3 linked regions of the Macaca fascicularis genome follow. The protein of the gene in region 3 purifies or fractionates together with the protein of the main gene of each other region. This does not show direct contact. Links are inferred from orthologs where the notes say so. Each region holds a gene or a part of one and is shown on either strand. Other genes may lie near its edges.

Region 1 (3,650 bases), on a different chromosome or scaffold from region 3:
GGACAAAGTTCATTGGGGTGGATAGGCGAGACTGGGGTAGCCCAGAAACACCAGGCTGGTTACATTTGGCCTAGCCAAACAATTTTCTCAGTGATACACACACCATTTTCCATGTGTATTATAATGTATAGAGTGTTGAGGACTACTGATTTATAATTTTTCAATGAAAAAAGATGGAGAGTTAATGACACTGAATTTCTGAAGAGATAGTCAACAGAATCAAAAGCAGTTGTAATGACCTGAACAAAATTCCTTCATTTTTTACCTGGCCTAGTAGTTGCTTATTTGTAAATTACAGTCTTTCTAATAAAAACACAGAGAGAAAATTATCTGTAATTTTGTAGCATAGTATTGTTATGTTCTATAGGGATTTTACATTCTTGTTTTCTAGCAAATGTCCTGGAAACACTTCGAGGTGATGGAAATGTGTTAATAGCAGTGGACACAGCAGGCAGAGTTTTGGAACTTGCTCAACTTCTTGATCAGATTTGGAGGACTAAAGATGCAGGACTGGGTGTTTACTCATTGGCACTCCTAAATAATGTCAGTTACAATGTGGTAGAGTTTTCTAAATCCCAGGTTTGTTCTCATGTTGTCACTTGTAATAAAGAAGTTTGCTACAGTGATTGGGTCTGTGGAAGTGGGTGTCTTCATTGTTTTTTGGATTTTATTTTTCCCTTGAAGAGATTGTTAGTAATGATGATAACTTGCCATTAACCATTTACTGTTCTGTGTGCTTTAAATGTATTATTTCATTTAATCTGTATTTATTCTACTAAGTAGTTTCCCTTTTATCCCTGTTTTAAAGATTAGGCAAATTGCTTCTCTTCTAACTCTTTAGTATCCCAGTCTGTAAAATGGGGACAAAAATAGAACCTACCTCATAGCATATACATGTTAGAATTCATTGTTCTTTCTTTTAAATAAGCTTTTTGCCTTGAAATAGCAATCTCTGGGAGTAAGATTTTCATTTAGAACATATACCTTGCCTTTTCAAAAAGATTTAAGGTGATTTATACGTGAAATATAATGCAAAATTGGGTTTTTTTGGGATGAAAACTAGGGTGGGATAATCTAATGGGAAATGGAAGCAGAAAATAAGCTGCTTGTCAAAACATTACAAATTTAAGCAACCAGTGGGGGTAAAAGATAGAACTTGGATTCCTTGACTATTAGAGAATATATTGAAGTTATAGGATTTCTAATTCTTGTCATCTTTCCCCCCACATTAGGTGGAATGGATGAGTGATAAATTGATGAGATGTTTTGAAGACAAAAGAAATAATCCATTTCAGTTTCGCCATCTCTCTTTATGTCATGGTCTTTCTGACTTGGCCCGAGTACCTAGCCCTAAAGTTGTACTTGCCAGCCAACCTGACCTGGAATGTGGATTTTCAAGGGATCTCTTTATCCAGTGGTGTCAGGATCCTAAGAACTCAATCATTCTAACTTACAGAACTACTCCTGGGACTTTAGCACGTTTCCTAATTGATAATCCTTCTGAAAAAATTACAGAAATAGAGGTAAGCACTTGTATGTGAACTTTATCTTAAGACTGTTTGGGGGATACATTGTGCGTGATGTATAAAAAATAGTGACCAAAAATAAAACTTGAAGTTGTTTTAGGATTTTGATCAGAATTACTCTTGAGAGCCAGGAGTGGTGGTGTGTGCTGTAGTACCAGCTACTCGGGAGGCTGAGGTGGAAGGATCACTTGAGCCCAGGAATCTGAGGTCAGCCTGGGCAACATGCCAAGACCTACCCCCCATCTCTTAAAAAAAAAATTACTGTAGAAGAGAGCCTTTAATAGCACAAATTTCAGAGTTCCTTAACTGGAGGTTCTCTTTTTTTTTTGAGATGGGGTCTTGCTTTGTTACCCAGTCTAGAGTGCAGTGGTGCTGTCATAGTTCCGTGCAGCCTCAAACTCCTGGGCTTAAAGGATCCTCCTCCCTCAGCCTCCCAAGTAGCTGGAACCATAGACATGTGCCACCAGGCCTGGCTATTATTTTATTTTTATTTTTTGTAGAGACGTCTCATTGTATTGCTGTGGGTGGTCTCAAAAGAAGTTCTCATTCTTAAACTTTTCCTTGGTACCCTCTAGTTTACCCAGAGGGTAAGCCTATACAGTGTTTTCTCAGTCTCTGAAAGGTTCCTTTCCTGTCTCTTGCTTAATTTAAATCAGACTCTTTCCTAAAGACGTTCTTTATCCTGTAGCCCCCAGAAGTAATTACTCTTTCTTTCAGTGTTGCATGTACTTTGAATGGAGTACATGTCTTCCTTGTTCTGTATTGCAGCTTCCTAGCTATTTATCTTCCATTTGCAGTTTTTGCCTTCAGACCTGCTGATATGCTGACCCCTCCTTGTTTCTGACATTTAATGATCTCTTGGTCATTCACCATTTGACCCTGATTCACAGTCTTCCTGTCCACTTGTATTCAGGACTTTATTCTCACTGACTTTAGCTTCCATGTATATGATCTGTCCAATTCTTCTCAGTTACTTGACACCTTATTTCTTAATCTTTTCCTTCATCTTACCTCAGACATCCATTCCTGCTGTCATGCTATCTGTTCCTGTGGTCATGCCTGTAACCTTCTTTTGGCCGAACAGTCTCCAAGCATCTCATTCTGAATTTACAGCTGACTTTCCCTGTTATTCTCATGACAACAACTCTTCAGTTCCATTGGGACTTTCAGTTCATGAACCTCACCTTTATACTGTCTATCATCCTTCCAGCCTTAAACTCAGTGGTTCACAATTAATCAAAATTTTGCAAATATCTTTAACTCTCTTACACTTCTGTTTTAGTCCCTGGAAAGGCTTTGACCTTAGTTAAACTATTTGCTTGGTGCGTGCCTGTACTTAAGCAGCTTTATGTTTCTGAAGTTAAACACTACAGTGTAGACAGATTTGTTTTCACATGCATAACTTCACATCTCAGAAGGGGACCCTACACCAGTACTCAGCATTCAGTAGGATGTTCCCGTTCTCACTGTAAGGCAATTTTATATCTTCTTTCTCCTCAAACATCCTACAGCTCACTCTCAGCCTTCATTCATAGCACATGATCTTGTCTCAAACTTAACATAGAAATCGAAGCAGTGAGTCAGGAATTCCTTTATCTTTCCACCACTAAATATACTAACTTGATTCTGCATCTGCATTTGCTGCCTTATCTCCTGTTACAGGAACAAGACAATTAGCTCAATGACTAGTATACCCAAAGATCGTTTGCTTAATAACCAGTGCATCAGTTCTATCGATTTTTCAAAACTAGTATATCATTAAAGTTTGTAGCATTTGATATAGTGGGATGGTTAATAACTGCCAGAGTTGCAAAAGTTTAGGCGACTAAACCTTAACATAAAGCTGTAACATAAAGCAGTATCATAAAGCTGCTTCTTATTTTGTCTTTGTAGCACTCATGTAATTATTTAATTAGAGATAGACTCTCTCTCTGTCACCCAGCCTGGAGTGCAGTGGCACCATCACAGCTCACTGTAACCTCGAACTCCTAGGCTCAGGCTGTCCCTAAACCTCCCCCTAACCCACTCCACCTTGCAAAGTGCTGGAATTATACATGAACCACCGCACCTGGCCCTTAGCAGTCATTTTAAGGAAAGTTTAGTTTGTTAAAAGCTATGTGGTAG
Region 2 (3,750 bases), on a different chromosome or scaffold from region 3:
TGAAGAAGGACTAGATTTTAGAAATATTATTATTTTCTTGGGTGGGGAAATGGTATGAAGATTATTTAACAACATTTTGCTCTTATTTATATGAGAATGCTGAAATATTTGGGCTGCAAAGTGTCAACATACTTTCAAACAAACATGCATGGACCAGACATGGTGGCTCGTGCCTGTCTCTAATCCCAAAACTTGGAGACACTGAGGTGGGCGAATCGCTTCAGCCCCGGAGTTCCGAGACCAGGCTGGGAAACATGGTGAATTCCTGTCTCTACAAAAAAAAAAACTACAAAAATTAGGCCGGGTGCGGTGGCTCACGCCTGTAATTCCAGCACTTTGGAAGGCAGAGGCAGGCGGATCACTTGAGGTCAGAAGTTCAAGACCAGCCTGGGCAACGTGGCGAAACCCGTCTCTACTTAAAATACAAAAATCAGCGGGGCATGGTGGCGAGCGCCTGTGATCCCAGCTACTCGGGAGGCTGAGGCAGGAGAATCGCTCCAAACGGGAGGCGGAGGCTGCAGTAAGGCGAGATCGCGCCACTGCACTCCAATCTGGCCGACAGAGCTTGAGGTTCCGTTTCAAAAAAAAAAAAAAAAATTAGCTGGACATGGTGGCGCGCGCCTGTACTCCCAGCTACTCAGGAGGCTGAGGCAGGAGGCTGAGGTGGGAGGATCACAGAGCGCAGGGAGGTCGAAGCTACAGTAAGCTGTGAAGGCGTCACAGCACTCTAGCTTTAGTGACAGAGACCCTGTTCTCAATCAGCATGGGGAGATAAAGCAAGTATGGCAAGGCTTTCAACTGTTGATTCCAGGTGAAGAGTTGTCCCACAGGTGTTCACTGCACTTTTCTTTGAACTTTTCTCTATGTTCTAAACTTTGCACAATAAAACCCTTGGGGGAAATTATTTTTCTACAATTTTGACCACCATCTGTCTGTCCCATTGAAACACCACAGTTCTAAAACATTCAAGAGGTCATGGTAACATTTCTGTGTCTTTGTAATTTTAGATAAATTCTAAGATTAACGATGAATTTCGGAAACTTTCAATGAAACCTCAATTAATTAATCCTTCACTTTCAGATGACAAATACTAGATCAGAAAAGAGGTAAACAGTTTTGATACGGTAATTTTAAGACTTCGCATGCTCGGGCATGCTAACAGTATGTAAAATGTAAATAGTGCGAAGATTTCTGGACTGAAACCAGTCCTCGAGCAAACACAAAACAATTTAGTCAAACTGCCGACAAAATGAAATCTACAGTCTTACAGACTATGCAATAGAACACTCCTATTTTGCCTCATCTCTGTCAACCTTCAATAACATCTTCCACGTTATAAGCTAGGGAACCTGAAAAATGAAAATCTAAGTGCATGTCGTTGCTATGGCAATGGGAAATTTCAGGAAATTGAGACTGCAGGCTACCTAGCCTCCATTTTAGAAACTGTATTTATCTAAACACACCAGGACTTAGATCGAAAAACAAATTTAATGGCATCTTTCAAAACTATTTTGTTTCCTCTCTCACACTAAAAGGTACTCTCCTACAAAATTCTGAATACAAAGAGAAAAAAAAACAAACCACACTGATCTAACCTAAAAGTCTGAATTTTTAAATATTTAGTTGTCACCCATATTTACTACTAAAACATGCTTTTATTTACAGTGGCCAAAACAGACTTCTCATTTTCAACTTATAATATACCTGCAATGTTTATGTAGCTGGAAAAACGAAAATGAAATGTGACTAAAAGGAAGAAAAGGAAGAAAACGAAAATAAGCCACAATATTCCCAAAACCACAGCATAACTTGCTTCTTTCTTCACTCGCTCTCTTAAATCTTAATTCTCCAGATTAGCTTTGTCTCAAATATTTCTCAAACTAGTAACCTATTTCTGGGTACACTACATTTGGCTGGGTGAAAGAAACACTGTCAAGTTTTTCTAAAACGGCGGGTGCGCGTTAAAATAATTCCTATCCACTCTAATACCAAAGCGATATCAAAGGAAAGCATCCCATCTGGAGTAGTCCCATGAATCTAAATAGGACGAAGCAGCCTACCGGCTATTGTCTAAATCAAGTATTTACTCGTATTAGTGCCTAAGACAGGGAAGTAAAAAAAACCTAAATTTTAATCAGATCTTGCTCCCCATTCCCACCACTCTTGTATATACCCTGTCCCCCGGGTTCACTAGACCCAATTCCTTCCTCAGGCGAACATGTCTGGAGCAGTCGGAGGAACAGACGTGGAGAAGAGGTCGCCACGAGGCCCCACCACTCTCCTTCCTCACCTGCTCCGTGGCTCCGTCTCCTGACATGGCCTCAGCTGATTACAACGTGCGCACTGACCGTCGATGGGAAGCTAGAAAAGAAAAATTAAACTAAAAACCACCCCCAAATCAGTAAAGTTACCCCCTGCCCAGCTGAGCCAGACCGCCAACACCAATCGCCACCGCCCACTCAGATATGAATTAAAATGGCTGCGCCCCTGCCGGCCGAGGAGGGGGGTGTGTGGCTTTCGCATTAACTTCCGGGGCAGTGGGCGGGGCTAATTTCGCGACTCGTTGGTTATTCCGAACGTGCAGAAGGCAGCGAGATCCCGGGGCGGGCCCAATTCCTGGGCTGACGTCACTACCCCGGCCTGGAGAGGCTGTTGCTGAGCCGGCTCTAACCGGCTGGAAGGCGGGAATCTGTTTCGCCTGGAGGCTCGCGCGCTTTTTGGAATTCAGTTAAAAAGCTTTAAGAGCCTGGCTCCTCACGGTTGAAGCCTGATTGCTAGTCAGCAATGCTAAGCGTTAAATGCCTCCTATATTTAGGGGATAAGGAATCCGTGAAGGTTTTCTCTGGTCTCAGTTCCTGCTTTTTACTTTTCTTGGGGGTGGGAGGGATAGATCAAGCCCACGTTAATTTTTACTGCCGCCGTCTACTCTTATGTAGAAAGCTTTGAAGTCTGTGAGACCTGGATTTTCAGCTCAAAATCTCAGCATGGTTCCTTGACTGCAAAGTGGATATGATTGTTTGGAGCCCAGACTGCTTGGATTTTAACTAAGATAAGTAACTCTGGGCAATTAAACTTTGTACCTCAGCTTTCTGGCCTATAGGTGGGAATAATAGTACCTGCAACTGAAATAAATCATACGGCCGGGCGCGGTGGCTCACGCCTGTAATCCCAGCACTTTGGGAGGCCGAGGCGGGCGGATCACAAGGTCAGGAGATCGAGACCACAGTGAAACCTCGTCTCTACTAAAAATACAAAAAATTAGCCGGGCGCGGTTGTGGGCGCCTGTAGTCCCAGCTACTCGGGAGGCTGAGGCAGGAGAATGGCGTGAACCCGGGAGGCGGAGCTTGCAGTGAGCCGAGATCGCGCCACTGCACTCCAGCCTGGGCTGGGCGACAGAGCGAGACTCCGTCTCAAAAAAAAAAAAAAAAAAAAAAAGAAATAAATCATACGTAGAAAGGTGTTAGGAACAGTATCTGGCATTAAGATTAAATGAGATTGACCGGGCGTGGTGACCCACGCCTGTAATCCCAGCACTTTGGGTGGCCAAGACGAATGGATCAGGAGTTCTAGGCCAGGCGTGGTGGCTCACGCCGGTAATCGCAGCACTTTGGGAGGCCGGGGCGGGTGGATCATGAGGTAAGGAGATTGAGACCATCCTGGCTAACACCGTGAAACCCCGTCTTTACTAAAAATACAGTGAGCCGAGATCATGCCACTGCACTCCAGCCTGGGCAACAGAGCGAGACTCCC
Region 3 (3,750 bases):
GTATTTTTAGTAGAAAAGGGTTTCTCCATGTTGGTCAGGCTGGTCTCGAACCCCCGACCTCAGGTGATCTGCCTGCCTTGGCCTCCCAAAAGGCTGGGATTACAGGCGTGAGCCACCGCACCCGGTCCGTATACTTTTAATACATGTGGAATTAATAAAAACGTCCGTGCCTCCAATTCCGTGGCTATTTTACTGTCTTCCCTTTTCAGACAAGTCCCTCAAAGGTAGCGCTCTTGGCTCCTTCTTTTGCTTCTCCCCTAACCCTGTCCTCCTGAGGTGCCCTCTGGATTTCCTCCAACCCCGGCAGGGTCTGCCTTTTCGGGCTGATACAACGACCTGCCCTGCATGCCACATCACAGGAGCGTGGGCACCAAAGTGTGGAAAAACTAATGAATGACGTTTTCTGTTTCCTGCCTGCCAGAATCCCCAGCCGCACCGCCCCACCACGAACCACATGGAACCCACGGACTACACCAGGACAGAAAGAGGTCTGTTTTCCCTTTACCTCTCCCATTTCTTCAACTATGCTTCTCTCGGCTAGCATACCCTTTCCTTATCTCACTCCATACACCCACAGCTTTAGCAAATTAATATGCACGCTGCTGGGACGCGCCCAAGCATTTCCCTCCCTTGATAGGGCGGAACTAAAATGCAAGCGCCACAGTTGTCAGCAAAAGACTTCCCTGTTACCATGGTAAAGCCGCTGCGCCATCTTTATTGTGGTTAACGAGTACTTGCATCAACCTAAGAGAAAATAAGAAGGAAGTCTGCAGGCTGAAACCCTTCAAATTAGCCTGGACTCGCCTGCATCTGGCTCGGAACAGAGTTAATCTCAGGGGTGGGGGTTGAGTCCTCCGGTGGACGCAACTCGCGCCTGCGGCTAACAGAAGGTCGTCAGGGGAGGGGCTCTGCGTCCGTTCCACCCAGGCACTTCCGGCTCACGCGCCGTACGGAAGCGTGCTCAGCGCTGGGCTTGTGCTCCGTACGGAAGTGTGCTTTGGCGCACCGGAAGCCGACTCAATAGAGCTATGGCGGGTTTGACTGTGAGAGACCCAGCGGTGGATCGTTCTCTACGTTCTGTGTTCGGTGAGAGGAATTCGTTGGAGCCAAGCTTCGGGGAGGGACTCCCCTCTGCACCTCCTATCTCATGAATCGCTACCGGAGCCGCTGACGGTTCGGACATGCAGTTCTCCCTGCCTATCCTGTAGGGCGTCCAACCTGGTGGACTCGTGAGCAAAGAGATGTTCCCATTCTGCCGAGGTCTCGTAGGCTTTCCGCAATATCACTGGGGAAGTTAGACTAGCGTTCAGCTTCTGTGCGTGTCTCCTTTCATGAGCTTTAATTATTCTCTAGAGGAGAGGGCGCATGGCAACAGCTCCTCACTGTCCCGTACTACTTCTCATCCTCTGCCCCAGAATACAGACTATATGCTGAGGGTATAGATCCTAGTGTCCACTTCCTGTTCTCTCGTAAGGACTTTCATCCTTTGCTTTTTATCCGTAACATTTTAGTTCATCAATAGTAGTAGAGGCCACCTGGTGTCCTGAGATGTCTTGTAAATGAATGAATGAATGAACTGTTAAGACCTCCTCAGAGGAATTTTAAAAAGGATCGAAATGATTCTGAATTATCTTTTTGGCTGAAATAAGTTGTTTTTAAAAATACGTGTGATTATTTTAGAGTGCCATTTGAAAGGGACATGACAAAGTAGTTCAGAATAATTTTTAAACATCCTTCACTACATTCATGGTCATTCTCCCTTAAATGTTGTATGTGTGGAAATACATATGAACCTGTCTTAAAAATTATATTAAAAAACATTGATATTTTTTGTAGTCACTGATGAGACTTGCAGATCTTTAGGTAAATACCAGTGCCGAAGTATTTATTTTCACCAAAGTTAAGGAAAATCTAACACTTGTCAGATCAGTCTGAGAATTAACATTTAAGAGTACCTACACATTTTGTATTTAGTTTCAGTGGTACATTTCCTTTGTTAAGAGGTCTAGAGAAATACAGTGGAATTGGGATTGGAGAACACTATTTTGAGCCTTATATTTGATGATATAAGTAGATACTCTGTCATTTACTTTCTCACTAAAGATCTATGTTATAAACTCGGAATTTTAATGTTACCTGTTTTCTTCCTTAGTGGGGAACATTCCTTATGAAGCTACTGAAGAACAGTTGAAGGACATCTTTTCTGAGGTTGGACCTGTTGTTAGTTTCAGGTGAGATCCCCTTTTACTTCATGGTGGGAGCTTCTTAAAAATTACCACAGATTTGGCTCTTAGTAATGGCAGGTTTTCTTTACTGGTGACTTTTCACATACACTTTATTCTTGTAACAGCTTTATTTAGATATAATTGATATACTATACAATTGACATTTATTCTTACCTAAAATATGTTTTTTTCATTAAAAATGTTTTTTAGGCAGGGCGTAGTGGCTCTTGCCTGTAATCCCAGCACTTTGGGAGGCCGAGGCAGGCGGATCACCTGGGGTCAGGAGTTCGAGACCAGCCTGACCAATATGGTGAAATCCCGTCTCTACTAAAAATACAAAAATTAGCTGCTGTGGTATCGCATGCCTGTGTCCTAGCTACTCAGGAGGCTGAGACAGGAGAATTGCTTCAACCCAAGAGGTGGAGACAGCAGTGAGCCAAGATCGTGCCACTGCACTCCAGCCTGGGCAACAGAGCGAGACTCTATCTCAGGGAAAAAAAAAAGAAAAAGTTTTAAAAAATATTTCTGTGAGGCTGTCAGAGCTGTAAAGTTATTTATGTTACAGTGGGCCCAATTAAAGCATGGCAATGTTAGCAGGAACCCTGTATGTGTGTAACATTTGTTCCTGACACTTGGTTCTGCTCTCCAGATTGGTATATGATAGAGAGACAGGAAAGCCAAAGGGTTATGGCTTCTGTGAATACCAAGACCAAGAGACAGCACTTAGTGCCATGCGGAACCTGAATGGGCGTGAATTCAGTGGGAGAGCACTTCGAGTGGACAATGCTGCCAGTGAAAAGAACAAAGAAGAGCTGAAGAGTGAGTACAAATCCAACTTGGATGCAGTGTGAGTTAGTAAAGATGTAACAATGAAGATTTTCCGTTTCTGCTATGTTTTAGAATATGCTGAAATGGTTAGCCACACAGCTTGTTTATTACTTGACTGATCTGATGTGCCTGAGTTAGGCAAGTATTATATATATCTTTTAAAAAATTTTTTATAAATTTTTTTTCAAGTAATTGTCTGAAATTTCTATACCCTTGCTCTGGATGGAGCAGGGCAAGGCCTCAAACCATTTCAAAACTGTTCTGGCAAGCACTGTAGGAATGCATAGGGTCACTGCAGACCTAAGCATGCTGGAGACTTGCTAGTAAGTGTATATCTTTAAGAAACTGTAAAGTTGACATTAGAAATGCTTCAGTTGCTCCAGCCTGGGCAACAGAGTGAGACTGTCTCCAAAAAAAAAAAAAAAAAAAAAAACGAAATTTTTCCATTGTTAAGGAGTTATTTCCAGTTAAAGATGAATTCAAATTCATCAAGCCATTAGTAGTACTAACTATGGCATTAGTCATTCCTGTCACTGTTTTCAGGAGTTTTTGAAATTAGCATGTTTTTCTCTTTTAACATTTTGTTTCTGAAATGACTTGTCAAAAGAAGTCAGTGTTCCCAGTTCTCTAACTTAGGTTAACATTGTCCTTCCATGTGATCATGATCCCCAGCTTTCCTCTGAGAACAGAAAATACA

The links.
Region 1: the proteins of CSTF2 (region 3) and CPSF2 purify together in Homo sapiens (affinity purification with western blotting; 3 studies listed by BioGRID and IntAct, with this or other methods). This does not show direct contact. The link is inferred for Macaca fascicularis from reciprocal best matches to the Homo sapiens genes CSTF2 and CPSF2.
Region 2: the proteins of CSTF2 (region 3) and CSTF3 fractionate together in Homo sapiens (co-fractionation; 4 studies listed by BioGRID and IntAct, with this or other methods). This does not show direct contact. The link is inferred for Macaca fascicularis from reciprocal best matches to the Homo sapiens genes CSTF2 and CSTF3.

The regions. Positions count from the first base shown.
Region 1 is NC_088381.1:160,139,916-160,143,565, forward strand, and holds part of CPSF2 (cleavage and polyadenylation specificity factor subunit 2), read left to right. Parts: intron 1-391; coding exon 392-579; intron 580-1,232; coding exon 1,233-1,523; intron 1,524-3,650. UniProt on the Homo sapiens protein: Component of the cleavage and polyadenylation specificity factor (CPSF) complex that play a key role in pre-mRNA 3'-end formation, recognizing the AAUAAA signal sequence and interacting with poly(A) polymerase and other factors to bring about cleavage and poly(A) addition.
Region 2 is NC_088388.1:32,419,436-32,423,185, reverse strand, and holds the start of CSTF3 (cleavage stimulation factor subunit 3), read right to left. Parts: upstream 2,473-3,750; 5' UTR 2,318-2,472; coding exon 2,291-2,317; intron 1-2,290. UniProt on the Homo sapiens protein: One of the multiple factors required for polyadenylation and 3'-end cleavage of mammalian pre-mRNAs.
Region 3 is NC_088395.1:107,483,818-107,487,567, forward strand, and holds the start of CSTF2 (cleavage stimulation factor subunit 2), read left to right. Parts: upstream 1-1,022; 5' UTR 1,023-1,028; coding exon 1,029-1,086; exon of another isoform or gene 1,087-1,241; coding exon of another isoform or gene 1,242-1,260; intron 1,261-2,152; coding exon 2,153-2,231; intron 2,232-2,874; coding exon 2,875-3,044; intron 3,045-3,243; exon of another isoform or gene 3,244-3,376; intron 3,377-3,750. UniProt on the Homo sapiens protein: One of the multiple factors required for polyadenylation and 3'-end cleavage of mammalian pre-mRNAs. This subunit is directly involved in the binding to pre-mRNAs.